Linked DNA regions of Oryzias latipes. The protein of the gene in region 2 interacts with the protein of the main gene of each other region in a biochemical or structural test. Links are inferred from orthologs where the notes say so. Each region holds a gene or a part of one and is shown on either strand. Other genes may lie near its edges.

Region 1 (7,748 bases), on a different chromosome or scaffold from region 2:
AGGTGAGTCAGCCAGTCACCACACTGCAGTTCCCGTTTGACCATCACCTCAGCTGACAAGCATACATTATTATGTCCCACAGATGGTGAGGCAGCCCACCTGCTGAGACGCTGCAGAGAAAAACCTTCATATTTTTATTTTCATATGCACACATGTTCATGTGTTTTTGTCTGCACTAAACCTTTCACTTATTTATGTTCCCTGTGAAAAAGTGGCAATGCGTTACTTTCCTGTGTGACTGCACTCACTTCAGTCAGCATAAAGTACTTTCTTTCAGCACTGTCCTGTGTAGGTGTGTGTATTCGTGTGGGTGTGTGGGTGTGTGAGGGTGCGCACTTCGGTGTGATTGTAATACAAACAATAGTGTCTGAAGCTCAATAAATACACAGCACGTGAACAGATGCTTGACCATTTTAATTATTCATTTGGAATAAGTCAAGATAACTGCAGCAACACAAAACTGCAGAAGAATCCAAAACTATAGCAACACAGTGAAAAAGTAAGCAATAGAAATCAACACCAAAACATACACAAAATTGCATTAACACAAAACTATAGCAACACAAGCATGAAACTTCAGCAACAAAATCATAAAACTGCAACAGCACAATCACAAAACTGTAACAAAACAAATCAATAGCAAGACAAACACAAAACTAAAGCAGCACAATCATAAGCTACAACAACACAAACAAAACTGAGTATAACAATTATAAAACTATAATAGCACATGAAACTGCCACAAAACAGATCAATAGCAAGAAAAACACAAAACTAAAGCAGCACAACCATAAGCTACAACACAAAAACAAAAGTACAGGGGGGTATTCCAGAAAGCAGGTTATGCTAGTTACCACGGTAAGTTTGAGGCTAAGGAAGTTGATAACCTCAGCTTTCGGCCCCAAAAATGGAGGTATGTTTCAGGGTATGTCAAGTTCCCATAGCAACTCATGCTCTGAACATAACCTGGTCTGGAGCAGGTTTAGTTGAAGGTTAGTTTGTTTTCAGAGAGGTGAAGCAGCATGGCGTGTCCATTTGAAGATGATTTAGTGGATGAAGAAGCTCAGATAATACTTTTTCCACCATGAAAGGGTGATAAGACCACATATAGATGTTGGAAAATTAAACTTTTTACTTTGATCTAACTTAATTATTTGCTTCAGTTAAGATAAATCATTTTTTTAGTTAAGTCATCTTAAAAATAACGTGTAGTTTTCGGACATTTATTTTACTTTCATTCAAATTAATTCAATTAAGTAGGTGGACCTTGGTGCTGCTGTTAGATCAGCACTGCAGGGGATTGTGGGATACCATTCCTTTTGCCTGTCTGGACGGATTTTGGTTTAAGTGTGGGTTTTTGACCAAATGTGTTTAGTTGTTTAGCTGTTTTACTGTGTTTTACCGAGTTATTTTTCCTGTTATGTTTAATTCTTTCTGTACCATGAGTGAGAGGGAGGAAGAGGAGGATGATGAGTTTATTTTGCACCCCTAGTGCTGCTTTAAGACACAGAAACTGTGAAAAGTATATATATATATATATATATATATATATATTAACTTTTTTTTTTGCTGATGATGCAGTCACATTACTTTTTTGATGGTCGCATAATCTTCATACGCCGTCATTAAAATCTCTGACTGCGTGTCACTGAAGTATAGCGCTCTCTTTTTTTCTCCACACGTTTCCATGGTGACTCCGGAAATCTGCGATCCATTGAGAATGTCTTTATGTAGTGGCTGTGCACGTGCATTAACCCAGGGTTACCAAGTGGAGCGTAATTAATCTTTTGGAACCGACATACCCAGAGTAAAGGCCCGTACACACCGGGACGAATATTCACCAGGCATTAATCGCCAGCGTTTTTCAACACGTCTTTTGTGTTCACACCCAGGCGATTTTCGCTGACGATGAGCCGAGCGAACATGCAATTTCATTCCCTGACATTAGATGGCGCTTAATGTAAACAGAAATACTCCTGTACACAAGGTGGCGCTGCGCAACTTTATGCTTCTTAAAGTCGCTTTTCACTCAGAAGAAGAGAGCAAGTATTTACACGCTTGTCAGAATCATTCAAAGAAAACATGAATATTTCAAGCACCAGTTGCTCCAACTGGTGCTTGGTTCGGGGATATTTTAGAATGTCCGTCATTATTTCTTCGCGGCTGTGTAGATGCAACTCTGCGTCTATCTTCTTCGCTGGTAGGTGTGCTCAGCAAGGCAGTTTTGTGTTTGAGCGCCCCCAAGTTGTGTTTTACTGTCACTTCAGAAGCTCCAGACACGTGTGCAGAAGCGGCATTCTCATTGGTCGAATAGATTTCGACGCGACGCGTCAAAAAAAAAAACGAACCCGAGGCGTTTTTTAAAAAGTGACGCTTTGACGCGTGGCATTTTTTCGCATCGGTGTGCACACTCACATTGGTGCCCTTTGTTTAGTCACGAGGCGTTAAACGTCTGCGAATATCGCGGGCGAAATTCGTCCCGGTGTGTACGGGCCTTTAAGCAAGTTCAGGCGGATTTCAGCCAAAGTTCAGGGTTAAAGTCAGGGTAAATAGTGACTTCTGGAATGCCCCCCAGGAAGTCAATCATAAAACTACACCAACAGCTTCACAAAACTGCACAAACACTAATCACTAAAGAAGCACAATCATAAAACTACAGCAAGCCTACAACAACAGAAAACTGCAACAACACAATAATGACTCAACAAAAACACAGAACTGCAACAACACACAACTTTAAATAATGTAACAGTATTGTAATATTCTACAAAGTGGTAGAAAACACAAACAGAAAAACAAAACGCACAGAAGGCACAACAAAAACAATGCAAAAACAACACAGCATCACTGAAATCGGACATTACATTAACATGACGTTGCTGCAACAATCTTTAAAAATGTGTCTCTACTAAAGCTAAAGAAGAGCAGACGTCAGCAGTGGACCTTCTACAAGACCACAACGCCCAAAGGTAAGTGAAGGATTGTTCCTGAATATTGTCCTGTTCTCACTGTTACTGTAATTCAACACGAGTCTGTGTTGTTGTGTTTCTCTCTAGGTTATTTTCCCCCTAACCCAAACGGAATTGTTTGGATGTTAATAGTGATTGTGTTATTCTGTCAGGATTTTGTTGTGCTTTCGTTTGTGCGGCTGGCTCTGAGGCCCCCACATTCCCGGAGCTCTTGGACGGCGCATGCGCCGTGGCGCCGTTGCTGTATCGGAAGTTAGGCTCGCAGTGATTTAGCTCATGAGACGGCTAGCATTTTAGGTTTTGCCCGGGCGCTTAAAACCACATTTTAGTCCCATAAAAGTACATTTTGACGGAGGGAGGGTGCCCACAGTGAAACGCCGTGGACTGCCCATGGACTGGGGGTGTTCTAGGCACTGCGGCTCGTGGGGACGGACGCGTTAGACGCGTGTGAAAGAAGTTGTGATTGTTTTTTGGCGCTCCGGAGGAACATGGAGGATTTTCTGCTGTAGCAGCGGCTAACGCTAGCTGCCTGCCGTCACCACCCAACAGAAACGAGCTGCTCGTCCGCTTGCTGAAAGCCCCCCCAAATCTTGATGCTGGACGTCACCGCGCTTACGGAACCAGGTAAGTTCTGCCGGGTGAGTCGACAACTTTGTTGCCGCGGGGGAGCCCTGGGGGGCTAATGAGCTGAAATCTGAGTTAGCTTATTGAAGCAGCACGGAGGAGCTTAGCTCGCTGCTAATTAGCTGCTCTGGACCCGCATCTATCTGCCACTCAAAGACCAGTTGGAGCAGCTGACCAATCTCTACACACGAACCAGCAGCAGATGGTTCTGGCTCGGGTCTTGGATAGGGGAGGATAGGGGATTGGGGTTGGGAGGCGCGGACACAGGCTTCACGGTTTGTTTGGATGCGCTGACTAAATTCTGGAGTAAGCCCCAGGAAGCGGAGGACTTCACGGACACACGGCACGCACACGCCTACGCGTGTCACGGCTAAAGTATTCAGTCTGACAGTCAGAATCTGAGGCCGTCGGACTCGGAGTTTAGTTTTTGTAGCTGTCAGACCCCCTCCAGGTCTTCGGAAACCGGCTGAAGTAGTTTGACAGACGATCAGACCAACCTGATCACACAGTGTGGCTGGATTGATCACTAGGGCTGGAATGATTGGTCTACTTCATCGATGAATCCATATATGCCTCTAGGATCCAACCAGATTGATCTGTTAGAGGCAAGTTTTTAATCGAATTAAATCGTCCCCCAATTCTTATAGAATCGTTTAAAAAAGAATTCCATCAATATAATGTAAAATCCATCAAGTGCATCACAGCGGACAACATGCATGTGATAAACTGATCAGTCCATCATTCCAGTCCAATGTGTGGACAGACTTTGAATAAAGTCATGTGACCATCCAGTGTCTAGAATGTTCTAAGAATGTTCCCTTTGGATTCTTTGGATGTGGAAAAACAACAGTGGTGAACTTTAGGAAACTAACATGTGAATGGATTTGACATTCATTCTAGTTTACTTGTTTGTTTGGACACAGATTTCATTGTTTCAATCTGGAAAACCTCACCTTCACTGTTCTGTACCAGGAATTTCTCTGAGTCTCACTGGTTGAAGTTTTGGATTAAGATGATCTGGATCCACTTTAGGTCAAAGAATCTGATCGATCAAGATGAATCATATCAGCAACTACAAATTATGATATGAATTGAATCGCTGAAATGAATCCTTACACCCCTAGTGATAACTGCTGAAGAGGGTCCAAACCTTTTAATCAGGCAAACGGAGCACTTGTTTAACCCCCCACCACACACGCACACACACACATACACACACACTCACACACACAGGCCCGAAGGGTGGTCACCTGAGCAGGTCCTCCCTACCTGAAGAACATTTTGTCGAACCGCCACCTCACTATCAACATTCAGAGAGGATGGAGATTGAAGTCTTTGGGAGCTTGATCTGAATCACACGATGCTGCTTTCCTAGTCAGACACATTTTCTCCAGCTTTAGGTTAAAACGTAGCTCGGACTCAGTTCTTGCTCGCTTTGGAGAAAATAATCTATGGTTAAAAGTACCAACCCAGCTGCTGTCTGCTCCCAGTGCATAGATGTGTGCTGGACCACTGCTGCAGAAGTTGAAAATGTAATTTTGAGGGGGTACACTGTGTATCTGCATCCCTCACACACATGTATGTTATACCTGTACATACATGCCTCAAGTCGTTCCACTTCCTGCCTGGGTTGATTAGGGTGGGACTCAAACATACAAACATGAGAGGAGCCGTGCGGCATCTGTTTATTCACCAGAAGCAAATGTAATATTTTCTTTATTTGGAAGTGAGTCTGTTAGTTAAACTATGAGGTTAGTTTCGTCATACAGCGCCACTTCACACTTGTCTAAAAGACATGCACTAAAAGCAAGAAACATTAAATTGTACTGAACTGTGATTGTTACTATCGCTATTGATCAGGGATGCTAAAATTCTCAATGCTGTAACCGTACTTTACACCATTGAACCCAAACGTTGAGAAAGTGAATCGCGGCATCCCTACTGCATACCTGTATGTTTGCTTTGAAAGCGTCAAACCCACGTGTAAGAAGCAGTTATTATTTTAGGACATGACACCAGGCTTTGGTTTTCTGCATTTTTACTCGCTTTTTAGCTAATAAAAAAGGTTTCCTGTTTTTTTCCTTTTTGTTGTTTTGTAAAAAAAAAAAAAAAAAAAAAAAGCAATCATGTATCGAACTGAAACACATCACCGGAACCCCAAAATGGAGGTTTTAATGGAGTTGTGGTGAAAGTGAACTGTTATATCCTACTACTGATCATTCCATTAAGACCATTCCAGCCTTAGTGAGCAACAGATGACACCATTTAATGCAATCCCTTACTGAACAGGTGGATTTAGCCTTTTTTATTGCAATGAGGATTTAATCATTTTTTTGACTTAAAAAGCAAATGGAAATTCCAGCAGCTCAGAAGTATGCAGACGTAATCCCTGTGAAGTTTGACTCTGTAGTTCTCTTACAGCACAGCTCTGACTTGTCTGTCATTGTTTTGAAGGAGCTCTGAAGCATGCGAGTCCCTCAGGCTCTCAGGATGGAGGCACAGCTTTCGGAGGCAGCATTTAGGTGAGTCCACACCTGTACAGGGCCAGCATGGCTCCTGTGCCTGTTCTTCACTGCTGCTGGTTTTCTTCCAGATGTCACATGGTGCTCTGAAGAAGCCATGGGTGGCTGCTTAAGCTGTCCAGAGAAAGAGTCTATTCCAGATAATCATCAGAGTAAATTCAAGGTGAGCATTTCCTTCCTGCTCATGTCTTTTCCCTGACTGAACTGTTGTGGAGTCCGCTCTTATTAGTTAGCAGTCAGGGTAGGGGTGTGGCTTATGTCAGTGTTCTAGTTTTTCTGCAGACATGTTTGTGCATTATCCAGCTGTGATGTCACAGAACCAAAGAAGGACCTCTGAACTCCTGAGACATTCAATGTTGGATGCTCATGTTTCTGGGCACCTTTGTAAGGTGGTTTTGTGTTGCAGCAGCCAGACACAATGATGAGCTTAAACTTGCTCTGAGTTTGGTCATGTGACACACATAAAGTGAAGGGGCATCCCTGACTGCTGTAAATGTGCGTCCTTTGTCAGGTGATCAACGTAGACGATGATGGGAACGAGCTGGGATCAGGCGTGATGGAGCTGACCGACGCTGAGCTCGTCCTCCACACCCATCGGCGTGATGACGTAAGGTGGCCTTACCTGTGCCTTCGCCGATACGGCTATGACTCCAACCTGTTCTCCTTCGAGAGCGGACGTCGTTGCCAGACTGGCCAAGGTATGCACATGTCTTTGACCTACAGCTGCAGGCGTGTCCTCCGTCAGCTGCAGAATGTTGACCCGTGACATGTTACAGTCTCAATATGTCTCTCAATCATGCTGTCAGGACCCTGGTGTCCTCTGGGGGCTTGGTGGGTGTGGTAAGTCTTGCTGTGGTCAGGTGACCCATGTTGAGTGTGTGTTACGGTTCTTCAGATCAGCCGATGTGTTGTTTTCGTGTGTGTGTGTGCGCGTGCGTGCTGAGGTGCTCCTCCTAAACTCTTGAGTCTTTGGGTCCTCAGACTATGGACTGTATACGAGAACTATGACCCCTCCCCCCTGGCGTTGCAAGCAGGAAGTACCAGCTGGTTCCAAGAAGCCATAGACTTCTATAGAGAAATAAACAGCTGTTAGTCATTCTATTGATCAGAAGAACCATTCTTGATCTAATACGTTTTTTAACATCTTCTCGATAATCCTTTATTTTTCCTTTATTGCAAGGTGTTCAAGTCATAAATTGACCAATCAGAGGCTTTAATAAAAGTATGTGGTGCCTGCTGGCCCCCACATCCAATGTTCACAACGTTTGATTGACGGATTTCGTGCAGCCCACTTTCAAGTGGGAGCAGTGTGGACTTCCAATAAGCTATAAGCTCACTCCTCGTTAGTGTTAGTGGTTGCCATAGAAACTTTGACTCACTGCTTATTGACAACTGGCTGCAAGATGAAAACGCCCGTCTTGCGAAAATACTGGTGACTAAATTGACTTAATTTGGAGCCAGAAGTCAGCCATTTCTATGGGTGATGTCGCACTCACTTGGTCCAGAGTTCATATAGTCTGTCTTCTAGTTTTTTCTGTGCCAAGTCAACAAACAGTGGCAGGAGCTGCTGTCGCCCTTAGTGTGACGGTCAGCACATGTGTGACACAAGCCTTCTGTCATGATTCAGTTCATC
Region 2 (7,236 bases):
AGTAAAATAGAGTACAGTACAGTAGAGTAAAGTAGAGCAGAGTAGAGTAGAGTAGAGTACAGTAGAGCAGAGTAGAGTAGAGTAGAGTAGAGTAGAGTAGAGCAGGGCAGAGCAGAGCAGAGCAGAGCAGAGCAGAGTAGAGTAGAGTAGAGCAGAGTCCAGCCTGTGCTGGTTGGTTTTACTGTTTTACTGCAGACGTGCAGAACGTTCTTCAGCCCGGTCCGGGTTCTGGAGGATCTGCAGGACTCACCTTTTTCTCGGATCACGTCTATCAGGATGTCGATGACGATGAAGGTTCCGGTCCGACCGATCCCCGCGCTGAGGACAGAAGCAGAGCGGCTGAGCGGCTGCTGCCGTGCGTCGGCCGTCCGGCGCCGCCGCTGCCGTTACCTGCAGTGGACCACGATGGGCCCGGCGTCCGCGATGCTCTCCTGCTTCAGGTTGACCTCCTCTAGGAAGTCCAGGACTCCGCCCGGGTCGGTGGGGACCCCGTGGTCCGGCCAGGCCCTGAAGTGGTACTGCCACACCGTGCGTTCCGTGTTTCCCTGAAAAAAGCGTCAATCCCGATGAGGGTTTCTGGGAAGACGGTGGCGGCGAATTCCGTCCGAGCCGCTCACCTGCCCCACTTTGGAGAGTTTGAGCTCTCGAAGGATGTAGTCGTGCGCGGACGTCTCCCTCACGTTGCGGACCCGCATGGCGCCGTACTCTTTCAGCGCCGACATGTCGGGCCAGTACTTCACACACTTACTCTGTCAGAGACACACAGTTATTCTCTCTGCTCGCTTCTGAGCGGCGAGGAAGAGAAGCAGAGGGACGTCAGACAAACCCAGATTGAGGCAGATTAGAGAGGAAACAGTCCTGGGGCCTGTTTCAGAAAGGAGGTTCGACCAACTCTGAGGATAAACTTGAACTCTGAGTTGGTCAATCGGGAGATTAACAACTCTGAGTTTTCTGTTTCAGAGAAGCTGATCGGAGTTAGGTCAATCACCTCTGAGTGGACTGATTCAGAGTTAAGCGTGCGCACCGCGACTATAAGAAGCCATTATCAATGGAGCGCAGATATCATGAGTCACCATGGCAACCGTGAAAAAAAGAGGTTTGCGTATTTTTCTCCAGCTGAACTTGACGTGCTGCTGCAGAGTTACAGTGAATATGAGCACATATTCCAGAAGAAAAGCAACACCGCTGCATCTGCAAAACAGAGACAGTTAGCGTGGGAAACATAGCTGCTCAAGTTAATGCCTAAGTTTGCATTTAAATCATTGTTATAAAATATTGGCTGTAATAACTTTCTAAATAGCGTAAGGAGTGAAATAAAAAATGGCGATATTTAGGTTTACTTTTGAAGTGTTATTCCTGGTGTAAATGCATGAAATGCTGCATAGTGTACAGAACCAATCTGGGGGGGGGGGATGCATTTAACGTCGGTAATGTTTAGAGGACTTTTTTGTTAACCTTCCCCTCTTGCAAACGTTGGTCAGTTTAATATTAATACATGCAATTTTTTTTTTTGTGTGTTTTTAAAAGTGAACTTTTGTCTACTGTTGAACCTTTCGCTGCGCGAAGACTTCTATTTTCTTTTCTCTCGTCTTTCCGACCGACCGTGGTCAGAAGCGCAGGGGAGATTTCCTTCAGGGCTGAAGGGAATTCTCCTTCGGGGTTCACTTCCCGTTGGAAACCCTCAACCTCCAGAGCGGATTAAGAATGACTCCAAAACAGTTATTCTGGGAATGACACCTTCTCTTTATTTAACTAAGTGCTCCGTCCTCCGAACACACAATATATACCACGCACACACCTCCGCTCCGCTCCGTGCTCACCCCCCCCCCCCCCCATCTGCACCTGCACTCGCCCCTCCCCTTGTCTCTCGTGGATCGCACCCCGCTCAGCACACACACACTGCAACACTACCCTTGTATTGATCAAGTGGTATAGGTTTATATGGGATTAAGAAAGTAAGCAGTGCTAGCAAATTGTGTTTCCAAAAAGTAATTGTTACATTAATCTAATTCAATGTCCCTGATTTCATTTTCATGTAGATGCAATCCTGCAGGAATTAAAAGAACATGGCAGCAGCTAAAAATGAAAAAAAAATCGAGTCTTCTCAAAATCCTCGTACGAGGTAAATGTAATTCTCTATGAATTAATGCAGCCTCCTCGTCTATTGGGTCCTCCAAAAAAGAACAAGCCATTCTTGTCACTTAGACCGTCTCTGTGTGACGGACATGTGGACAATGAAGGTTAAAGCGAAAAATACCGCTTCGTCTTTAAAAAGGGGAGGGGACCGGCAGAAACCTTGAGTTTAGAGAATAAAACCTGCTCCCGACCAGGTTAGGTTCACAGCATAAGTAACCATGGATACTGACTCCGAGTAAAAGTTACCTCTCTTTCAGAAACGGGTTTGACTTACTCTGCTTTCTCTGGTTTAACAAACCTCCCATTCTGAAACGGAAAACCCAGGGTTTCCCTGATTTCAGGGTTAACGCACTCAGAGTTTACACTTAACCTCCTTTCTGAAACAGGCCCCTGGAGTCAGACATTTGTTTGGATTCAGTCAAACAAACTCAGATTATCTAAAACCCTTCAATGATTAGAAAGAAGTTTAATACAAAAAGGAGTTTTTAGAATGAAAAAAGCATATTTACGGTACAGACCAAAAGTTTGGACACACTGAATGAGAAGCTGTGAATGTACTGTATATGCTCAGTTTTATATAGATATTATACTTATATATATTGATATATTCCACAAAGGAATTCAAAGGGGAAGAAAGGAAAACGGTCAGATCACATTGGTCAAAAAAAGCTGAAAGCCTCCAAAAGATTTTGCTAAAAAGAAGCGATAAATGTATGGAAGACTTGTCGGCGGCCCTCACCTTTCCTCGTTCCACCTCTTTGGTTGTCATGACGATGACCCGCGAGTTCTCCTGAAACACCATCCTCCAGAAGTCACTGATGGTGTTCTGCAGGCAGCCCTGAGTGGCGATGTAGCTCTTCTTCAGCTTGTGGCTGTTGCACTTGGCGTCCAGCTCCGGCTGCAAACCGGCAGAACCAGAAGCTGCACAAACCCGAGCGCAAACGGACCCGCAGAGCCGGACGGCGAGAGGGAGGCTCACCATGATGATGTTGGCGTTGATGTAGTCCGAGCCGGGCTCGTTGGGGTCCCCGTCGTTCAGCACCACCCGCGTGTGGTCGACTGCAAACACAAACGGCAGATGAGAAGAGGGCGGGGTCGAGCGGCCTGGAGTGGCGGCGGCGCCGGGGGCTCTCACAGGGCAGGATGTTCTTGTAGCGGTTCTTGTTCTTGTTCTCCGCCCTCTGTCCCTCTTTGCGGCTGTACAGCAGTTTACACTCCTGCTGCTGCAACGTCTGCATGCAGAGAAAAGAGGAAACTCCAGGTTCAGATCTGCTTCTGGACACAGCTTTAGCGGCGTTTGGCAGAAAACGCCGACACAAACGTGAAGCTGCACGTTCATGTAAACACAAATTCTATTATTCTATTTTATTCATCATAGCCGCTTTTTCAACAACTGTAGTTTATTGAGGACGTTATTCCAAATATCTGTACACGTCTATACACTCAAAAAAATTGGATGAACTCAATTTAATTGTGGGCAGGATTTCCATCCAATAAATATGAGTCGCACCAAATCAAAAAAATTCCTCCATGTAATGAAATATAATCGAGTTAGTCGAACTCAATTTTATCAAGAAGACAAAGCAAAAAACATGGTGTGACACTATTCTGGAAGGTAGAACCTCCACATGCAGACAGACTGATCCACTGAGCCGACTCTCCTGTGGCCTCAGGCATCCAACACTATAAAGACAGAATCATTTTCTACATAAATGAGGTTTGTCGTCTTTGATCTTACTGGGAGAAACCCAGTTGAATCCATTCCAAGCCACAGTACCTTTTTTACGTGGAAAAACACGAACAAAAGTTCAAAGGATTTGAAGGACCAAAAGTCATGGCAGGCATTAGACGAAAGAGCTGAACGTTTTAATAGTTGAATGGTTAAAATAGGTGAAAAATTGTAGCCGTAAAACGGCGGAAGATACTATAAGAAGAATAAATAAAGAGAAAGAGGAAAACAGCATCCAACCAATTAAAGAATAGAATCACAGAAGAAATGATTTTGCAGAAGGTGCAGTCTGCACATGTGCACAGCATGCCCCCTAATTATGAATTTATTTATTCAATACTGGAGTTTATAGGTGAAACTATTAATACATTTTATGTTAGGTCAATTAAATATAGATACATATTTTTAAAATAAATATATTTAAATAAAACAAACGGCATTTACTTGTGTTGTTACATGAAAGAGGGTTTGAATCCCTTTTTTGAGTGTAGTTTTTTCCCAAATACTTTGTTTTTTTTAAAAGTAAATTCAGAAAATGATGAAGTGACATTTCTGCACAGCAATCACTCCTCATGGTTATTGATCTGTTAGAATAACACAAAGACTGCTGCCCCTAAAGCCAAAACTACACTTCTTCTTCTTCAGGTGATTGAAGCTGAACTTCTGGAAAAAAACACAGGAAACCGGCTCCATCTGCTTTCAAAATAAAAGTCTTCTGACATGATGAGGACTTCCCCTCTGGCTCCCCAGACTGCTGACATTGCAGGGACGTTTGGAGCTGTAGGGGTGTCTGAAAGTGTTTCTTTGAGGAGGAGCCGCAGTGACCCACGGCTGGGTATTCCTCTGCCGGTGGGGGGGGTCCGCGTCTCGCTGGCACGCCAGGAAAAAGGCTTTTCTTTAGGCGGGTGTGCTCTGAAGCACAGAGGTTCATGACTAAATGTAAGTATTGGCTTCCATGACAACGTTTTAAAGTTATAAACCACTGTATTATGGCAGCTACACGCCAGCGGGGGAGACCGGCGACCGTTGATGATGTCATGGAGTGGTAGTCATGTCCGGATTTTCCATAACCGTCTTGGAGGGATAAATGTCGGGGTAGGGGATGAATTCAGATTCAGCCTAAACGTTGGAGGAATGTCTTTTGAGTTCCAGTACAAACACTCATCAAGCACATCAGAAAGATCCTTCATGATTCTGACCGTTAAACGTGCTGCTGCCGCCGCTGAGGTTACGGTGGGATTTCAGAGTAAAAGCACGCTCCCTGTGCCTTCAGAGTAAAAGCAGGTTGCTCCTCTTTCTCAGACCACTCACCTCAAACTCCTCCCAGAAGCCCTGCTTCACCTTGTCCGTGGCCTCGGCCAGCTTGCTGAGCTCACGGACGCGGCTTTCGATCTCCGCTGCGTTGATGCGCGTCGTGTTGAGCGGCTGCAGACCACAGCAGAAAACATTTAGTGCAAAGGTCGCTCCTGAAGGTCAAGACGGCGCCACATTAGAACATGAAGACATTACGGAACAGACAGGAAGAGATTATAGACATGTTTCATGCAAACGGTGAACAGAAACTTGGTGTTTACAGACTTTTATATATTTATTTGAAAGATAATTGGCTGGTTTCTTCAGACGAGTGTCAACGACAGGAAAGAATCCTCTGATCCATGTCGACACACGGTGTTAACATGCAAACCAAATGTCCCGCCACAGGGAAGGTGTGCAGGAATGCCTTCTTTCCATCCATTTAAATGTAAATACATCTACTTTCTAAAGTTTATAGGTTTTTTTTGTTGAATTTGAATGTTTTTCTTTAAACAAACGGAGGCAGGAAAAGGACAAACACTCTGCATTAACGCAGACATAAACCCAAGCTTCTCTCACGTGGAACCAATCCAGCTGTTTATTCTATTGTTTCCACGGAAACCCCTCGGGGGGGGCGGCGTGAGACTCCCAGACCTGTTTGAGCTGCAGCACGGTGCCCAGCGTTTCCACCATGGGGTTCTTCTTGTAGTGCTCCACCAGGTCCGTGAGGGAGTCGAACTTCTCCCCTCCGCCCACGTCGTACTTCAGGTCGTGCTGGAAGAGCGTGACAGTGAACACGTGCACGCGGCAGCAACACCCGCCTGACTGCATGTCACCTTCCTAAAGGCAGCCTGGATGGAGGCCGGTCTCCATGGCAACCGTCCAGCTTGCTGACAGGCAGATAAACACGTGCAGATGTTTAGACCCAGAGCAAATGAATGAAGAGACTTTTGGAGGGAAACGAAACGGTAAAAAGAAATATTCCTGCTTTAGATCAGAACGATTTAAAATTTAAAGTAGCGAACAAGCTCTGGGAATCCTTTAGACGGAGAATGACGGTTGTGATCCTCCAGTGGAGTTCAGTTTGGATGAAAAAACAGAAAATAAGGTTTTCTGCAAAAGATGGTTGGTTTATGAGCAAAATGGTCTGAAAATGTGGCCGCCGCCACGATTATTAATGTGATACGGAGTAGTTTGCTATTACAGACACCAGCAGAATTCACCCAGACTGCTACAAATAAAAAAAAGTCACTGCAGCTTCACCTACAGGCCTGCATTTCTCCTCCATTTGTTCATCGAGCGGCAGCGTTTAAAAAGCACAGCAGTAGCTGCGTTTCCATTGCCTCTGAAAATGCGCAATTGGATTTGCGATAACAAATTTGCCGAAAAGAAACAAGAAAAAAACCTCACACTTATCTCAAAAAGGTTTTTGCGCTTGGAGAAAGTGGTTTTTGAGGCATTTCAAATGTTTCCCAAAACTGCAATGGAAAGATTTTCTCCTAATTAAACGAGTCCGTGACCACCAACCGGATGGCGATGCTCTTCTTGGTAGGAACTGGCGGGCGGGGGCGCTGCGCAGCGGGCGCCACCAGAGGTCCCACAGCGTCACACGGATGATCAAACGTTAAGCGTCTCATGTGGAATTGTTGGATCCACAGCTCCTCTGGAAAACCAAAAATGGCTTCATCTGTAGCCCCTCCCACATTCAGGCCGATTGACACTTCAAAGCGATCAGTCATCCCACCACTCGCATCCACAGTCGCGCGGTCTGCTTCACGCCACTGTTGCTTGGATTTGGTTACGACCATCTGCGAGGACGGCGTTGAACTTCTGAGGGGCCTTTCTACTTTTCACACAACGCCATCGTCTCCGGGTTTTTAATAACACCAACGGCTTCCTGCTCGTTCACGTGCTGCGTCTACCAGCGGGTGTCGTCACCGGCGGGTGTCACATTCTGCAGCGTCTGGGGCGATGATGATGAGCGCTAGCGCCGTGGTAGAAATTTGAATGGATCTGCTGTCAATCAAAGCATCGTTCACATCCGTCGCAGAGTTTTTGAACGACTTATCGTGTGACTT
Region 3 (7,781 bases), on a different chromosome or scaffold from region 2:
AAAACCAGAAATACTTTTTCATTTTCAAAATAAAGCTGCATTTTTTGACTCAAAATTAAAATGAAAACGCAATCCGCCAAAATGTTTTTTTCATTTTCTTCTTTAACACCGCTTATTCTGTCACTTACCTGTAATTAAAATGACGTGGTATTTGACATTTCATTTTCAAAAAGTTATCTGTTGTAGCAAAATTCATTTAGAATTGTCTAATTTGACAATTAAAATGGGTTTAATAGAAATGCTTTTTCATTTTCAAAATGTAACTGAAACAAAAGACTCAAAATTAAAATGAAAATTTAATACTTCAAAATACTTTTTCATTTTCTACTTAAAACCGCTTATTCTGTGTCATAATTAAAATGAAAATGCAAAGAGGGGATTGCATTTTCATTTTAACATCCACCCTGTGAATAGTGTCGCAATATTCATTTCGAATAAGCATTTCCAGTGGGGAGGCGGGGCGATGACGTCAGTGTGTTCTCTGTGTGTGCGGCTGCTAACAGACACATGCTAGGAGCAGTGGAGCTTTGTGTTAGCGGCAGAGGAGAGGGCTGTGTGATGGTTGTGAACTCCTGATGATTGTAGACAGCTTCTCAGGACTACGTAGCAGCATTTCCCTGCACCCCCCCCCTCGGACCAGCAGCTGCCTTCGCATAGCGGAGCGCGAAACCCCGCTATCCGATCTCCCGTTCACCGAAGGCAGAAGTGCTGATATGATCTGAGAAACCATCATATGAATATGTGTTTCCAGTGGTGTCCAGAAAAAAATAAAGGATGATGTAATTCCCACATATTTACATCCAATATGCTCATTGCCCGCAAGGAGTTTTAAGTACCTCCACGGCTAATGTTTAAAGCACATATTAGCCTAATGCTAACTCGTCTTTCGGGTCCTCCAGCGAAGAAAAAAGCACTGACCGAACGGATTTAAAAAAATTGAGTGAGCAGGCCCTTAATAATAATCATAACAATAAAAGCACATTTAGAAGATAGATGGTTGGACCAACACACACTCAGCGTGAAGCTGAGTGTGTGTTGGTCCAACCAGCAAACGTTTAGCATGGTGAAATCTGCTATAGCTGTTGATGGGACTCCAGCTGTCATTGAACAGCAAAATCAGCGTGAAGCTGCAGGAGACTATCTTCTAAATGAGCTCCACTGCTCCTAGCATGTGTCTGTTAGCAGCCGGACACACGGATTTAGCACTGATGTCATCGCCCCGTCTCCCCTCTGGAAATGCTCTTTCGAAATGAATAATGCGACAATGTTTGCAGGGTGGATGCTAAAATGAAAATGCAATCCCCTCTTTGCATTTTCGTTTTTATTCTGACACAGAATAAGTTGTGTTGAAGATGGAAAGAAAAAACATTTTGGTGGATTGCTTTTTTATTTTCATTTTGAGTCAAAAATGCAGCTTCATTTTGAAAATGAAAAAGCATTTCTGGTTCTGACTTTTATTTTTAATTATTCTACAGAATCACTTCCATAAGTTTCTACAGAGCGGCATAAGTTCATTAAAAATTCAACTCTGAGCTGTGGGCTGGACTGTTGGTGTGGCGCATTTCTGCCTAATTTCCCGTCATCCATCCATGACACCCCCGACCTAACATCATCGATGCAACAAAAATGGTGAGCAATACTGGAGCTATCCATTCATACAGTTTAGATCCAGACTCCAGCTCAGACCAGGAAAACAAAGACGTACGTCTACAGGCTCAAAGGGTTGGAATGGGTACAATTGGATGCATCAGAATGGAGCAGAGCATGTTTGTGGCCCGCCCAACGTATTTTCTATGTAACAAATATGCTCTTTTTTTAAACTGCAATTTTTATTCTGTGTCCCTTATTCACAGTTATTTGAATTAAGAAATACTCAGTGATGCAATTTCAATATTAGTTTTATTTGTCCTCCATCATCAGAAAAATGCCACAAAACAACACCAAAAAATACACTGTTTATTGGAGTTGGTCTCTAAGTTCCACTCCATAGTGAGACTGTAGCATTGTTACAGGTATCAGGGCAAATTAACCCTTGTGCTATCTTAGATGACCCCACCCTTACATTGACCTGTTCTCCCTACCATGACAAAGGTGGATAAAGGTGGAAAGATTTCATGTAATCCATGGACACCAGTGAAGATCACAAATCATTGAAGAAAAAAGGTTCAGAGCACTGTCTAGTGGGTCTAGATGACCCAAATCCCAATGGTAACGTACCTAGGATAGCACATTAAAGGAGTAGACCTGCTGCGGCTGTTACCCTCATGGGCACTGACAGTAGAGTTTAGGGGTGGAGCAAAGGAATCCCAGTCACACAGAACAACCCAGCAGTAAGGCCCCAAGCCAAATTCTGCCACAGGTATCAATAATTATGCAGATATCAGTCTGCTTACAGAAGATAACATATTTTTTTAGAAACAGAAAAGATCATCTTAAAGGTACACTACAGCTACTTGTAATGAAATAAGTGCTCCGCATTTCACCCTGACTAATTATTGTGCACAAGAAGCCTATCAAAAAAGGGTAACACGTAGAAGAAAAAGACCATTCCATAAAATCCATACATTGCTTCTGTTCCACTGATGAGTGAGCTGCTGCCAAGAAGAGGTGAGAGGAAACTATCAGGGATGCCGGGTGCTTTACTTGAAGCTGACAAGAAAAGGAAAAGCATTGACACCTGCTCTCAAATGTTATTACTAATTCTGCATTTTCCCCCTCTTGATCTGTTTGCTTGTTTGTTTTCTTTTCTCTTGGAACAATCGATCGGTTTGGGACTCAGGTATGGCAGGTTTTCCCACTTCGACATTCAGTAATCCCATCTCACCCTCCTCCCTCTGAACAAGTGCCGTCTTATTCTGCCTTCATTCCTGAACGAAGCAGGGTTTTTTCCGTGCGTGTCACAGCAGCCCTTTGGTGTGAGATCACGTCCTTCTCTGCAGCCCAAGCGGCTGTTGTGCCGAGCGCGCACACGCAGGTGGCTGTGCAGACGCAGCGGAGCTTTCCCCTGCGCGCTCAGACTTTCCGCAGTTTTGTCTCACTCGGCGCCAAGGCAGCTCAGGGTTGATTTCATCATCAGGCGCGCGGTAGTCCGCGCTCACGCCTCCCACTTCGCTTCCCAGAGTGATCTGTGTTTGGACGGAGGACCCCATTTGCTCCTGAGGACAGAATGACAGGGGAGCGCACTGACGGAGACGCTGACGAGGTACAGTATGGCTCTCCCCTTTTAAATTAAATTATTTCCCCTTTTTGATATTTGCTTGTTGTTGTTTTATTCTGTTAAACTAGTTATTCTAGTATTTTTAGTTTCCTGCTGTGGCAAGCGCTGCGCTTTAGGAAAAAGCCAATTAACGCAACCAAATCCTGAGCTTTACGCGTCAGATTGCTCTGCTTCATCCAGGAAGAGACTTTAAAAGCGTTTAAAAGTTGGATTTTCAACCTCATTTTTCCACAAATGATCAAAATCATAAAAGCTTTGAGAGGATTCACTTTTACAACATATACTTGCATGTATGAATATTCATATTTTACAAATGTCACCTCTGGTAAAAAAAAAAAAAAAAAAAAAAAAAGATTAGTAGATGATATTCTGCTTGGATGGTGAGATGAAACACTGTTGCTTTTTCACAGAAAATGTTTTGAAGCGTTGCCATGCGTCCACATCCATGTGGAGCCAACTGTATGATAGGTCAGGACAGGAGCACTGTGTGGGTGGTGAGGACCCCTTGCGGCTGAGTGCAGGGGTGTGGTGCTGCGTGTTCAGTGCGCTTAAACCCATCCCTGTTCTCGAGGCAGGCCGGTGACTTGCACTGCAGTCTCGCTCCCTCTCGGCGCGCTGCGCACCACTCCGCCTCCACCACCTCCTCCTCTTCCTCACTTGTTTGCCTCCCTCGGATCTCCACAGGAGTTTCTGCAGTCGCCCTTCATCCGAAAGCAGGGGAACATATACAAGCCAAACAACAAAGACATGGACAACGACAGCGTAAACGAGAAGACGATGGATGATGTCCACACCAAAGAGATAGATCTAGTCAACCGGGACCCTAAACAAATAAACGACGACGTTGTCAAGGTGAGTCAGACCTGCTAATTTCGAACTTTTCAAGTTACTTTTAAAGTTGCAGCTGCAGAATCTTTCAAGACTTTTTGTGACAACAAAAAATAACAGTTGAGAGACTCCTGTGTCACAGACATTTCGGCCACTTTTTGCTTTTAAAGTCCAAGAATGTGATCAAAAACTGTCCAAGTGTTAAAATCTGGTTTGGTGTTTTCTGCGCCTGTGCGTCATCGTGCGCTCCCGGGGCTCAGACGCTGCTGCGCGCTGCCTCTCCAGAGCGGCCTCTTACTTTCTTTCCCCCTATTAGGAAGGAACTTTGCAGATGGAGTTGTGCTTTGCGCAGGCTGCACAGCCCATCTGCACGCACGGATTAAAAACGTGACCATCGGAACAAAGGAAACAGTACGAATTTCCTGTTTTTGGGACTCACGTTTCCCACAGTGGTTGCCTTGAAACCCTGAATTCTTTCCATAAGGGACATGCGCACAGAGGTTATGAGAGGGAGAGCTGGAAGCCACCTGAGGCGCTATGATACTGGAGGGGAGCGTCAGCTGTCTGTCACTCTCCACTCCAGCTGAGGCGGGCTTTCACATCAGAGCGGGGTCAAACAGCCCCCTGCATGAGAAGGATGGGTCAGGCCTCTGAAATGCCTGAACTGCGCTGTTAAAACAGGGAAACACCCAAGTAGCTGCTTAGTCAGAGGGGGATCCCTCACCACTCCCAGTGTTCTGATCTCCCCCCTTTCACCTGTCAGCATTCCAGCCAGAGGATTTAAATCTGAAGACATGTATGAATCGCTAAACCAACCGCCAAACTCATAAACAGTTCTTCCTCTCATGTTATTTCTGGAATTCCTCCACAAAATGATTCGATTTTATCAGATTCAGCTGATATTTCACTCCACGGGAACATTATCTGCAGTGTAACGTACAAATGTTGCCCCTTGGAAACACCCAGTCACTAGCATGAGACAAAGTGGGCACTAAATGCAGAAGTGAGTGAATTCAATAATGACCAACACATCCTTTCTTATTACACTGCACAGACTTGGCAAAGCGCTTAAGATTTCCTGTTTCTGTCTCTTCTTCACCGCTCTGCATCCTCCTGCTCTCAGTTGTGACGGTGAGTCAGACTCTCCCTGCGGTCAGGGCAGATTGAGGCTTTATGATCAAGTCAACTGACCGCCCTCAAAGTTAGTTTTCATCACATGGTCATGGACTGTAAACAAGAAACTTGTGTAATGAATTCCAGTTTCCATGATAACTTCTGAAAAGGTTTAAGCTATTCTTAAATCTGTGCTACGTTTAAGACCCACTCCATTGAAAATGGTGTTTTTGTTGTTTTTAACATGTTCTTGTGGTAATTTTCTGATGATGGAGGACTTATATAAAGAAAATGAAACTCAAAAACGCCATTTCTGAGTGTGTCTTTACTGAAATTGTTGTGATTCAGGAGCATAGAAAAAACTCTGAAAAAGATCGCATTGGTTGCATAGAAAATATGCTGGGTGTGCCACAAGCTCCCCGCTTTGCTCCATTCTGATGCATCCACTTGTAAACAGATCCATTAATGGTTTGTTTTTTCTGGTTTGAGCTGATATTTGGCTCAAAACTGCACGGCTGGATAGATGGCACAGATCAGAGTGGGTCTATAAGTAGAGCAGTCGTGTCTTTTCCGTTGATGGAAGCAGCTGGTTGGTATGAAAGAGCTAAATCCAGTCCGAACAGGGAATCCCTTCTGCGGTCATCCACTGTGTAATCAGCCACGCCGTCACACAGCTCCACACACATATGACAAGCAGCACACATCCTGAGTGCATGGATGCTTTGACTCATACATGTGAGAAAACCCACGGCTCTCTTGCAGCTGCAACCACAGCTGGCCTTAATCATCTGGCCACATGAAACAATGGATATTCCCTCTCAGAGCCTTTTTTATTCTTTCCCTTCCTTATGTTGTGGGCCTTTTTTATGTGCAGAGAGTGGAGGTCAAATGCCTGCACAGGACGTTTTTGAAGCTGCGTGGAGAAGCTTGAGTTCCAGCAGCAGACTCAGGTGTACCGAGGACAAACTAAAGAGGATGAACATCGTTTATTCATAGTGTTTGGTATAAACTTCACTTTTTAGCTTCAAACTTCCCTTTCCTTGGAGAATCATTCACATGGATGCCATTTAGTTTAACCCTTGTGCTATCCTAGGCACGTTAATATTGGGAGTTGGGTCATCATCTGGGGCGGCCGTGGTGCACAGTAGGGCGGTCGACCCATGAACATAAGATTGCAGGTTCGATTCCCGCCTTGCACGCCCATGTGTCGAAGTGTCCTTGGGCAAGACACTGAACCCCACCTTGCCTCTGGTGGGAGGTTGGTGCCAGTGTTTGGCAGCGGAGCCGCCATCAGTGGGTGAATGTGTGTGAATGTGTGTGTGCATGGGTGAATGGGACTGTGACTGTAAAGCGCTTTGGGCCTTCGTAAGAAGGTAGAAAGCGCTATATAAGTATACGCCATTTACCATTTACCATCTAGACCCACTAGACAGTGCTCTGAACCTTTTTTCTTCAATGATTTGTGATCTTCACTGGTGTCCATGGATTACATGAAATCTTTCCACCTTTATCCACCTTTGTCATGGTAGGGAGAACACGTCAATGTAAGGGGGGGGGTCATCTAAGATAGCACAAGGGATAAGAAAGGGGAGTGGACACATGAAAAAAAATCCAATTTTGCATATTGACCAATGTTTTCAATGCCGGTCATGTTAATTCGTATCTGTAACCAAACCGCAGACTCTCTTCCCCCGAAACTCCAGCAGAAGTCTGTTGATGCACCGCACTCTTCTGTCTTGTCAAGCATGTCTGACAGCCTGAAGATAAAACTCTGGAAATAGCACTTGGCCCTATTTACTCAATATTACGGTTGCTTTGCCAACTGGTCACATGTCGACCCCAAGACTGCATTGTTTCATATCAGGCCTCCCAATAGTCACCAGAGGTTCATACTGAGAATCAGCTGCTGATGGGATAAATGTGCTGCTGAGTGCAATCCAGAATGGATCCGAGGTCTGCAGGAAAAGCTTCAGGGACTTTTAGAAGTCTGTTTCAGTCAAATGATCCAACATTTTGGGCAAAGTGGGAGCTAGATTGAAAAAGATTGTTTTTTTGAAGTCATTATTAACAGAGTTGTAAAAAGCTTCATCTGCAGAACTGCATACAAACCCATTATGGTGTTTACTGCACGGGAAGTTGGTGTCCTCGGGTAACCTAGAGGATTTCCTCATTATGCTGCTCGGCATCACCAACCAACAGCGGCCCCTCATGGAGCTGTGTCGCTCTGCCTCTCCGGTGGGGCTGCTCTGAGGTGGAAAAAGGCTTTGGTTTCTGACAAAGACTGGAACCTGGAGCCACTTTTGGGTGGATCTGTGGAAAAACTGAAAGGGTGTCAGACTAGTTTGCACACTGAGTTTTGCCAGCTGTTGATCCAAGCAGCCACTTTAGCGCTGCTGTTTACTCTGACAGGAGCCTGGAGATCTCACACAGCTTTTCATAGAAATCAGCTTAGTGGCCCTGTGGGAGAGTGTCTGCCTGAGTCTGGGACGGTTTGAGTCCACAGTTCAGACACACGATAGTCTAAAAAAATCATACGCTGGATGAATTGTGGAGTCAAAGTAGTAAAGTGATTCCTACTGCTGTGGCTTTATTTCCCGGAGGAGGAAGTCAAATGCAAAGCAGA
Region 4 (7,923 bases), on a different chromosome or scaffold from region 2:
TATTTTGGTTAATTTTTTGTTTTTTTTGTTCTAATTGGATTTATAGAAATAAATCATCTCACTGACTGATTTGCAGTGGTGGTCAGGTGTCAATTATCTGGAGCTCCTTCAATTCCCACTACGAGCATCATGTGCTCGCTCTAAAGTGGCCCCAGTGGTCTTTTAATTAGAATTATGCTGCTTTTAGCCAAAATAATAAATTAAAAACTTCCATTTTCTAAAACGGTTTCTGCAGAAGAGGCAGTGGTTCAGTAGGAATTCAGCTGAATTGTGGTGGGACTGTTGGTGCAGAGCAACCGTCCTTCCCCTCCCTCTTGCTGAGAGCTCAGTTGAACTGGAGCAGGGAGATTTTGTTCTTCCGGTGTACCGTATTTTCCGGACCATAAGTCGCACTGGACTATAAGTCGCATTTTGACGGGAAATTTATTTGACAAAATTTCAGACCAAGATATAACTTGCACAACCTCATATGACACAATCATAGCAGACTGTTTATCTTGTATCACAGTAATATTTTATTTCATGAAGCATCATTGGCCAACTAATACTGTTTTCAACTTGTATTTGTAGAAAGTTGTCATTTTTATTGCATTTCTGAATCTATGAAATCATTGGAAAATAGAATATTATGTTGTTAGCCTTCAAGATCTAACTGTAAAAAAAGCTTTGCCGATTCTCTGAGTCACTTGACATACTCTTAACACTTAACATACCTCACATCAAATTGACCCAGTGGGTCTGTCAAGATTCCACTGGCAGTTGGAGCTAACAGCCTTCACTGGCTCCTAGTTTGTTAAAATGATTTGGAATCTGCACAGAAACAAAATAAAGAAACCAGCGCAAAATGATTCTTTTTTTTTCTTAGCTGAGAATTGCTATGCTTTGCATGATTTCTGCTAGAGTTTCTACATTCAAAGCTTTGTCTGTCAAACGTACCAGTTCTAGTCTGACCCGTGTTGTTGGTGCCTCTTACGGTAACAGAGCTTTGGTCATCTGAGCTGCACTACTTACTTCTGGCATTTCAGTGAAGACAGTCCCATCCTGTGTCCCTTTTGAATAGTCTTTTTCTTTTCCAAATCTGGAATGTGCTGCTGTTTCTGAAGCGTTAGAAGAAATCCCCTAAATTACTGGGCTGTTGAGTCATAAAGACATTTCTTAACATCCTGTCGTCAGGCCCACAAATTCAATCACTAGGGGGCATAATTCAGCACTTTTGTCTGCCGGGTCCAAGTTCAGGTCAATGCAGAGGATCAGTCATGTGAATCCTAAACAACTTTTCTCACCGGTTCAGTCGTGGGCTGGTTTAATGAGCTCCAGCTCACATGTCCAACTCCAGTTCTCAAGGGTCAGTATCCTACATGTTTCCAGCCAATCTGCCATGTAATCAGCAGCAGGTGGGGCTGGGTTTTTGAAGACCCAGCAGTATGCTGGTTCTTGAAGCATCCTCTAAAGTTGTTGGTGGAAATTGGAGAACTATTGGTCAGAAGAGGAGAGGAGCGGGACATGTTTGTAGGCAAAGAGAGGAAAGGCAAAGGAGGAACTTTGACAAGTTAAACTTTGGTGGAAAGTAGAGGGGTGGACATCCAGGGATTCTACAAGTTTGCTAAGAATCTTCTGAATAAGAAGACTGTAAGAGAGGGTGATGAAGCTGAAGCTGACAGTTGAAGGTATGATGTTCAAAATTGTCAATTGTTCCTTGGCCTGTGTTTTGGCAAGAGTCTGGCAATACGTATTACCATGGGCTATATCCCAAGACAATATTAAAAAATATATCAAAAGTTGAATGTAACCCTTGTGCTATCCTAGGCACTGTAACATTGGGAGTTGGGTCATCTAGACCCACTAGACAGTGCTCTGAACCTTTTTTCTTCAATGATTTGTGATCTTCACTGGTGTCCATGGATTACATGAAATCTTTCCACCTTTATCATGGTAGGGAGAACCCTTCAATGTAAGGATGGGGTCATCTAAGATAGCACAAGGGTAAAGGAATCTATGTAGAATAAAGGTAAACTAGAAAAATAAGGTGTTTGAAGGAAATAGTTGGCTAAGGTTCCAGCTGTGATTAAGTGGACTGGTGTGCAGCCAGAGGGCTGTTCTGTGCTCCGTCATGCTGACGTCTTTTCACAACTATGAGCTAGAGATAAGGGCGTCTGGGTTGAGTTTCATTGCTCTCCAGAATGCAGTTTCATAAACAAGAAGCACAAAACAACCAAGTCAAGTAATAATTGGTAATACTAAAAAAAAATGAAACATTTCAAATTAAAAAGGGAGGTTTTTGATTTTATTATCAGCAAAAAAGGAATTTTCTGTCTTTTGCAATGCCGTTTTCAGGGACATCCAGATCAGGTTGGGTTCATGTTTAATGGATGAAACAATCGACAGGTTTTTCTTTTCAAGCGTTTATTATATAAAATTTGACCCATGGGGTTCATACAAAAATACTTTCTTACAACTCAGTCTTAAAACACTTTTCAAACTTTTAAAGTGAAGAAAGAGGGCAGATTTGACTGAAATGTTGTCTGAGACAACTGCAGAACAGATACAGCAGTTCTGTAAGGTGCTTCAGCATCACACCTGCTGAAAAGAATTAAAGTCAGAATATAATCAAATTTGGGATTTCTCTTTTTTTCTTTTTAAATTAAAAAAACATTTTTTTACATTTGTAACACACAGCCAAAAACGTTTGTTTGCAGTAACAGAGCATAACTTTAAAAAGTGCGATTCAAAAAAAAAAAGAAAAAGGAGTCATACACAACATGCTGAGATAATGCTCTGTGGAAATAAGGAGGCTCCTTTATCATCCTAAACGTTTGTTCCCAACAAACTGATGAGCCTGCTGAGAGCCACAGCTCCTCTTTGGAAGAAACTGGATATAACTGGAATGAACAAACCAGCCAGGAGTCACAGCCTGACTCACACACGGCTCCTTCTCAAAGAGTAAAAAAAAAAAAGTGTTCGACAGGAAGCAGCAACACCAACGGACTCCGGTTACTCCATGGAGCCTTTAGACGGGAGGAACAGCAGACGGAGACCTTCAGGACCAACCGAACACCAGGGGGAAACTCTGGATGAAGCACAGGCATATGCAGAAACATCATCATCGCAGGTTCTCTCCAGTTTGGACCTCCAGCTTCTTGTTGAAGTGCATTCAATGATTGGTCTTGGAGAACTGGACCCGCAGCTGCAGCATTCAGCAGACTGGCAGCATGCAAACGTTGTTTCCGTTGTACTCTTCTTCGGTCTGCAAAACACGAAGCAAAACCAGAACTTTCAGAACCGTCCCAGCAGCTGCCAGAAATGCGCAGAACCCTGTTGATCGCCTTACCTCGGCAAACACAGGCGGTGATGGGAACTGGAAGCTGGGCGACCTCATGAAAATGGGGCTGCCATCTATGTCGTCGCAGTCACACAGCAGCGGCGTGAGGGGCTGGTCGAGCCGAACGTCCCGCGTCATGTCAGAGTAGCTGGGGGGATTGGAGGGCATCTGCAGGGACACCCAGCTCTGGGAGGCGTTGCTTACGGAGCCCTCCTGGCTGCTCACACTGTTGCTGCGGCTGCCGAGACCGGCTGTCCCGATGACCAGAGGCAGCTCCAGGATCACTTTCTCACTGCCGGGAATGTGGACGTAAATCTGGAAGAAGAAAACAACAGACCATCAACACGTGTTTATCTCAGGAGGAGCCACAGGTGCTCCGCAGGCATGCACACTTCACCATCGGTGGCTCACCATTAGTGCATACTCCACACGGATGATGTTACAGCTCAGCATGGATGGCTTGATCTTTGGTACCCTGATGGTCTTCCCCTGCCAGGCGTCACACATGCCAGAGATGATGTGGTTTCCACGCACTGATGACAGCTTCTGCCTGAAGACCTTGGTGCGGCCGTTGGCCTGATATGTGTGTTTGGCAATGATGGCAGCTTTGGGAACCACGATGCGTGAGCAGGTGTTCTCGAACTTGGCGTTGATGCAGATGTCCTCGCCTTCACAGAAACCACGCCTGTCGATTTTGGCGTTTAGTGACACTTGGCCGTCGGGAATGAACATGCAGGTTACTTTCTTTTCCTTGGAGCCACCTGTGGGAGACTGAAGAGCAAAAAGAGGTAAAAAGAAGGTTAGCACGGCGGCGAATCCCAACATCTACACCCATGGATGTTCTGATTACTCACAAGTAAATCTGGGGTGTTGACATCCAGAGGTTCCTCCACCTCGAAGCATTTCTTGCACTCAAGCGTGGGCTGCAGCGGCCTCTCCAATTTAGCCTTCACATAGTACTGAACATAGCCAAACTTCCCCTTGTAAGAGGATACCAGCTGCCTATGAGCAAACACAAACAGGATTAGAACCACAAATCATTTCATGACTGAATGAGGAACTAAAAAAAAGGGGGCTTACCCTTGGTCGGGGAGGTCGAATCCAAAAGTGTACTCATATTTATTCCCAGGCCTCAGCACGACAGAGCCATCTGCATCTGGGGAGGGGGGAGAAAAACCATGAGTAAGGGGGGGGGGGGGGGGGGCAACTCTGTGGGAAATGAAAATGAAGGTGGGACATGATGTAAACAGAGCCAACTGGGACAAAGTTCAAGCACGGATGTTTCTGATTCCTGCCTCACTGATGAACCCCTGTAAATTCTCACTGCGTCATATTTCACCCATGAATCCAAATTTATTAAACTCACTTTAAAATAGACTAGAGTTAAAAAAAAAAGAAGCAGCTCACTTTAACCACAAAAACAGCTTTAGATTTATAAAGTGGAAGAAAAAATAATTTAACTACTTAATATTTTTAACGTGTAATTGTGTTATTTAGCTAGGACAAAAATAATTCCAGCACTTCCAACAGTTCCAGTGCGCACGAGGCTTACCTTTGGGCTGGTCGTGCAGGCTCAGGACCTCCTCGTGCCTCAGGTACTCGGCCTCCTGTCGGCATCGCTGCTTCCCCTTAGCGTACTCCACCTTGGCACAGCCCAGAGCCACGACTTTCACCGCAGACACCCGCGTCAACTCGTTCACCTCCACCTCCACGCGGCCGCACACCTTCTCCCCGCCGCAGTAAAAAGTCTTGCTCGGGTCCGATAAGACTATCTGAAAAGTTTTCAGTCTCTTCGTCATGGCTACCATGGCTGCTGAGGCTGTGAACAATGCTTGCTCGTGCGACTGAAGCTTTCGTCGTCTGAGGCTGTAAACAACAGAGGCGGCTGTATTTTTCTTTCTTTCCGTGAGCCCCGCGTGATGAACCGCCTCCGCGGTGTGGCTCAGCGCATGCACAGCGCTCCTATTGGCGGAAACTCTAGGTTTGTCTCGGCTTTAGCCAATCAGAGCGCAGAGTCAGCGCGTGGACAGCGCATGCATACGAGAGTGCAGCGCGTGCTCAGGAGATGAGAGACGAAAACTCAGCGTTTATAGTAAACACCAGAAACCTGGGAAGTACAGGCGTTTCCCTCTTAGGTCAGTTATTCAGCTGCGTTACAAATGAATATTATCAGTGCTATGATATAAAATCAGTTTACAGTTAATTTTGTGTCCTGATATGCTGAAACTGGATGATAACAGATAAAGAAAAACCTGAAAACACTATATCAAGCAGTTAATGGTCAAGTTTACACGACGTTTATTGTCTTATGAACAGACAGATCCATAAAACAATTGTGAGGATCAACTCATTAATATTTTCCCAAAGCATTAAATACTTTAAAATGTCTGTTTGCTGCTGAAGGGCCACAGTGTAGGCTACACTTTTTAAAAGTGATATAGATTTTTTTGTTGTGGGTTTTTATACTGTCTGCTTGTATTTTTTTTCGCTTGTATTTTTTTCCCTATTGTTCAAAAAGACAATTCCAACAATACAAAAAGACATCAAAATGTAAAATAAAAGTATTTGAGGTTAATTTAGGGTGACATTTTTTCAACTTATATAATGTTAACATTTTATCCTTTTAACGTCACGCATGTTAGGTCAAATATTGCTTACAAAATAAACGCCAGAGTTTCACTGTAAACAATTCATGAAGTTAACATTACAGTGATTCTTGATACTTCTAGAGTCCTCAGTAATTGGTAGGGATGCCACATTCATTCATTCATTCATTCATTCATTCATTCATTCATTCATTCATTCATTCATTCCTCTTCTAAAATCCACTTCAGGGTCACGGAGCTGCCAGACCCTTTTCCGGCCATCTTTGCTTCCCTACAGCATGCCATTATCTTTTAGAAGGATGTGTTATTTATGGTATTTATGGTTTTTGGTATAAGCCAACTGAAAGATTTTTCTTCATTCTTTCTTGCTAATTAGCTAATTTAAAAGAGGGATTTTCAGATATTTTTTAGCTTTATTGTTGTTTTGTAATACTCAAAATAAATATGAAATGGAAACAAAAACGTGACCCAAAAATTGAACCAAGTCATGGAGAAAGTGAATCTTTGCATTCCTGGTAAATACTTATATAGTGCTTTTCTACCTTCCCTTAAGGCCCATAGTGCTTTATTCACATTCACCCATGCACACACAATGGCGCCAACCTGTAACCACCAGGAGCAGTGTGGGGATCAGCGTCTTGCCCAAGGACACTTCCACACATGTGGGCCGGATGGAAACGAACCTACAATCTTCAGATCAGCTGCTCTTCCTCTGCACCACGCCGCCACCGCAGATATTATTGGAAGAAGATCAAATTTGGTCTAAATTTTAAAAGAAAAATGAATAAAAAACATTTTGCAACTTTTTTCTCTGTGTTGTTTCACAACCATCAAATATATTTCTGTAAAAAGCAAGAACCTTTTAATTGTCTCAGAAGGCTCAAGTGTAATGTAAACTGATCGTTGTGGCTCCTCTCTCAAGTATCCCCACGTCTGTAACAAGATGCCCCAACTGACGCCACATGTCTTCTGAATGGTTGACTTTTCTGGGTATCGCATCTCTTCAGAAGTGGGATCTAAAAATATTTTTGTTCACAGACACAGTGATGGAAATCAATTTTGTAGAAGGGATCATTTCGTACTGTAACCCTGGTGCTATCCTACGCACTTTACCATTGGGAGTTGGGTCATCTAGACCCACTAGACAGTGTGCTGAACCTTTTTTCTTCAATGATTTGTGAACCTCACTGGTGTCCATGGATTACATGAAATCTTTCCACCTTTATCCACATTTGTCATGGTAGGAATAACACATCAAAGTAAGGGTGGAGTCATCTAAGGGTTAAAAACAAGGGTTAAAAAAGAAGTAACACAATTATCTGTAATAATAAGGTTTCCAAAGATTTGTTTAGGTCAGGAAACTCAGTTCTTTCCTCATTTTTATACCTGAAACATATTAACTGATTAAAGTGATCAAGTTGATGCCTCACTGATTTCCTTTCAGGATAAAAGATGTCTGGAACGTCTTAAAATGCTGCATTACCCCAATGATTGGAAAAATACAGCTCTTCTTCAGACTAACTTGGGTTTATTGTAACTTTAAATATTTTTTTCTGTCTCTAATATATCTAATTTGCTTTTTTTTATTCATGTAATGAAAAAAATACATTTGAAAGGAAAACCTTTCCATGCTACACAGATTTTTTCTACTGTGGGACAAACACTTTCATCCAACATGCCATGAACAACTTTGGTGTGAGATTTCATTGCAGACTGACCTCCAGTCTACATCTCAAAGCATAAATTCACAGCAATGAAGCTGCTGAGTGCAGACTGACATACAAATGAATGAAATGAGTTCCGAGATTCCCAAAGCTGTGACAGACCAAGGAATGTCTACGTGCGATTTGACGAACCACGTCAAGAAGAAAAACAAGTCAGTCCAATCAGTTTCAAAATCTTATCACACCACATCACGATGAACAAGCTCTGCATTGAGAGAGGAAACACCAGGAACTCAGCAATCAGGCCCTCTGTGGTTCTTTATGTAGTAGAAGT

Evidence for each region.
Region 1: the proteins of ptpn11 (region 2) and frs2 interact in a test that uses a peptide from one of them, tested with the Homo sapiens proteins (2 studies listed by BioGRID, with this or other methods). The link is inferred for Oryzias latipes from reciprocal best matches to the Homo sapiens genes PTPN11 and FRS2.
Region 3: the proteins of ptpn11 (region 2) and caveolin-1 form a complex in vitro, tested with the Homo sapiens proteins (2 studies listed by BioGRID). The link is inferred for Oryzias latipes from reciprocal best matches to the Homo sapiens genes PTPN11 and CAV1.
Region 4: the proteins of ptpn11 (region 2) and txnip are reported together in a solved structure, tested with the Homo sapiens proteins (2 studies listed by BioGRID, with this or other methods). The link is inferred for Oryzias latipes from reciprocal best matches to the Homo sapiens genes PTPN11 and TXNIP.

What each region holds. Positions count from the first base shown.
Region 1 is NC_019864.2:4,363,589-4,371,336, reverse strand, and holds the start of frs2 (fibroblast growth factor receptor substrate 2), read left to right. Parts: upstream 1-2,493; 5' UTR 2,494-3,593; intron 3,594-6,047; 5' UTR 6,048-6,115; intron 6,116-6,186; 5' UTR 6,187-6,212; coding exon 6,213-6,278; intron 6,279-6,626; coding exon 6,627-6,813; intron 6,814-6,921; coding exon of another isoform or gene 6,922-6,955; intron 6,956-7,748. UniProt on the Homo sapiens protein: Adapter protein that links activated FGR and NGF receptors to downstream signaling pathways.
Region 2 is NC_019870.2:1,410,127-1,417,362, forward strand, and holds part of ptpn11 (tyrosine-protein phosphatase non-receptor type 11), read right to left. Parts: intron 5,933-7,236; coding exon 5,813-5,932; intron 5,291-5,812; coding exon 5,177-5,290; intron 3,369-5,176; coding exon 3,272-3,368; intron 3,196-3,271; coding exon 3,116-3,195; intron 3,035-3,115; coding exon 2,876-3,034; intron 750-2,875; coding exon 618-749; intron 546-617; coding exon 391-545; intron 319-390; coding exon 251-318; intron 1-250. UniProt on the Homo sapiens protein: Acts downstream of various receptor and cytoplasmic protein tyrosine kinases to participate in the signal transduction from the cell surface to the nucleus. Positively regulates MAPK signal transduction pathway. Dephosphorylates GAB1, ARHGAP35 and EGFR.
Region 3 is NC_019864.2:2,996,222-3,004,002, forward strand, and holds the start of caveolin-1, read left to right. Parts: upstream 1-2,938; 5' UTR 2,939-3,166; coding exon 3,167-3,202; intron 3,203-3,901; coding exon 3,902-4,069; intron 4,070-7,781. UniProt on the Homo sapiens protein: May act as a scaffolding protein within caveolar membranes. Forms a stable heterooligomeric complex with CAV2 that targets to lipid rafts and drives caveolae formation. Mediates the recruitment of CAVIN proteins (CAVIN1/2/3/4) to the caveolae.
Region 4 is NC_019869.2:21,667,564-21,675,486, reverse strand, and holds txnip (thioredoxin-interacting protein), read right to left. Parts: upstream 5,246-7,923; 5' UTR 5,128-5,245; coding exon 4,872-5,127; intron 4,476-4,871; coding exon 4,400-4,475; intron 4,322-4,399; coding exon 4,174-4,321; intron 4,091-4,173; coding exon 3,731-4,090; intron 3,635-3,730; coding exon 3,329-3,634; intron 3,245-3,328; coding exon 3,194-3,244; 3' UTR 2,387-3,193; downstream 1-2,386. UniProt on the Homo sapiens protein: May act as an oxidative stress mediator by inhibiting thioredoxin activity or by limiting its bioavailability.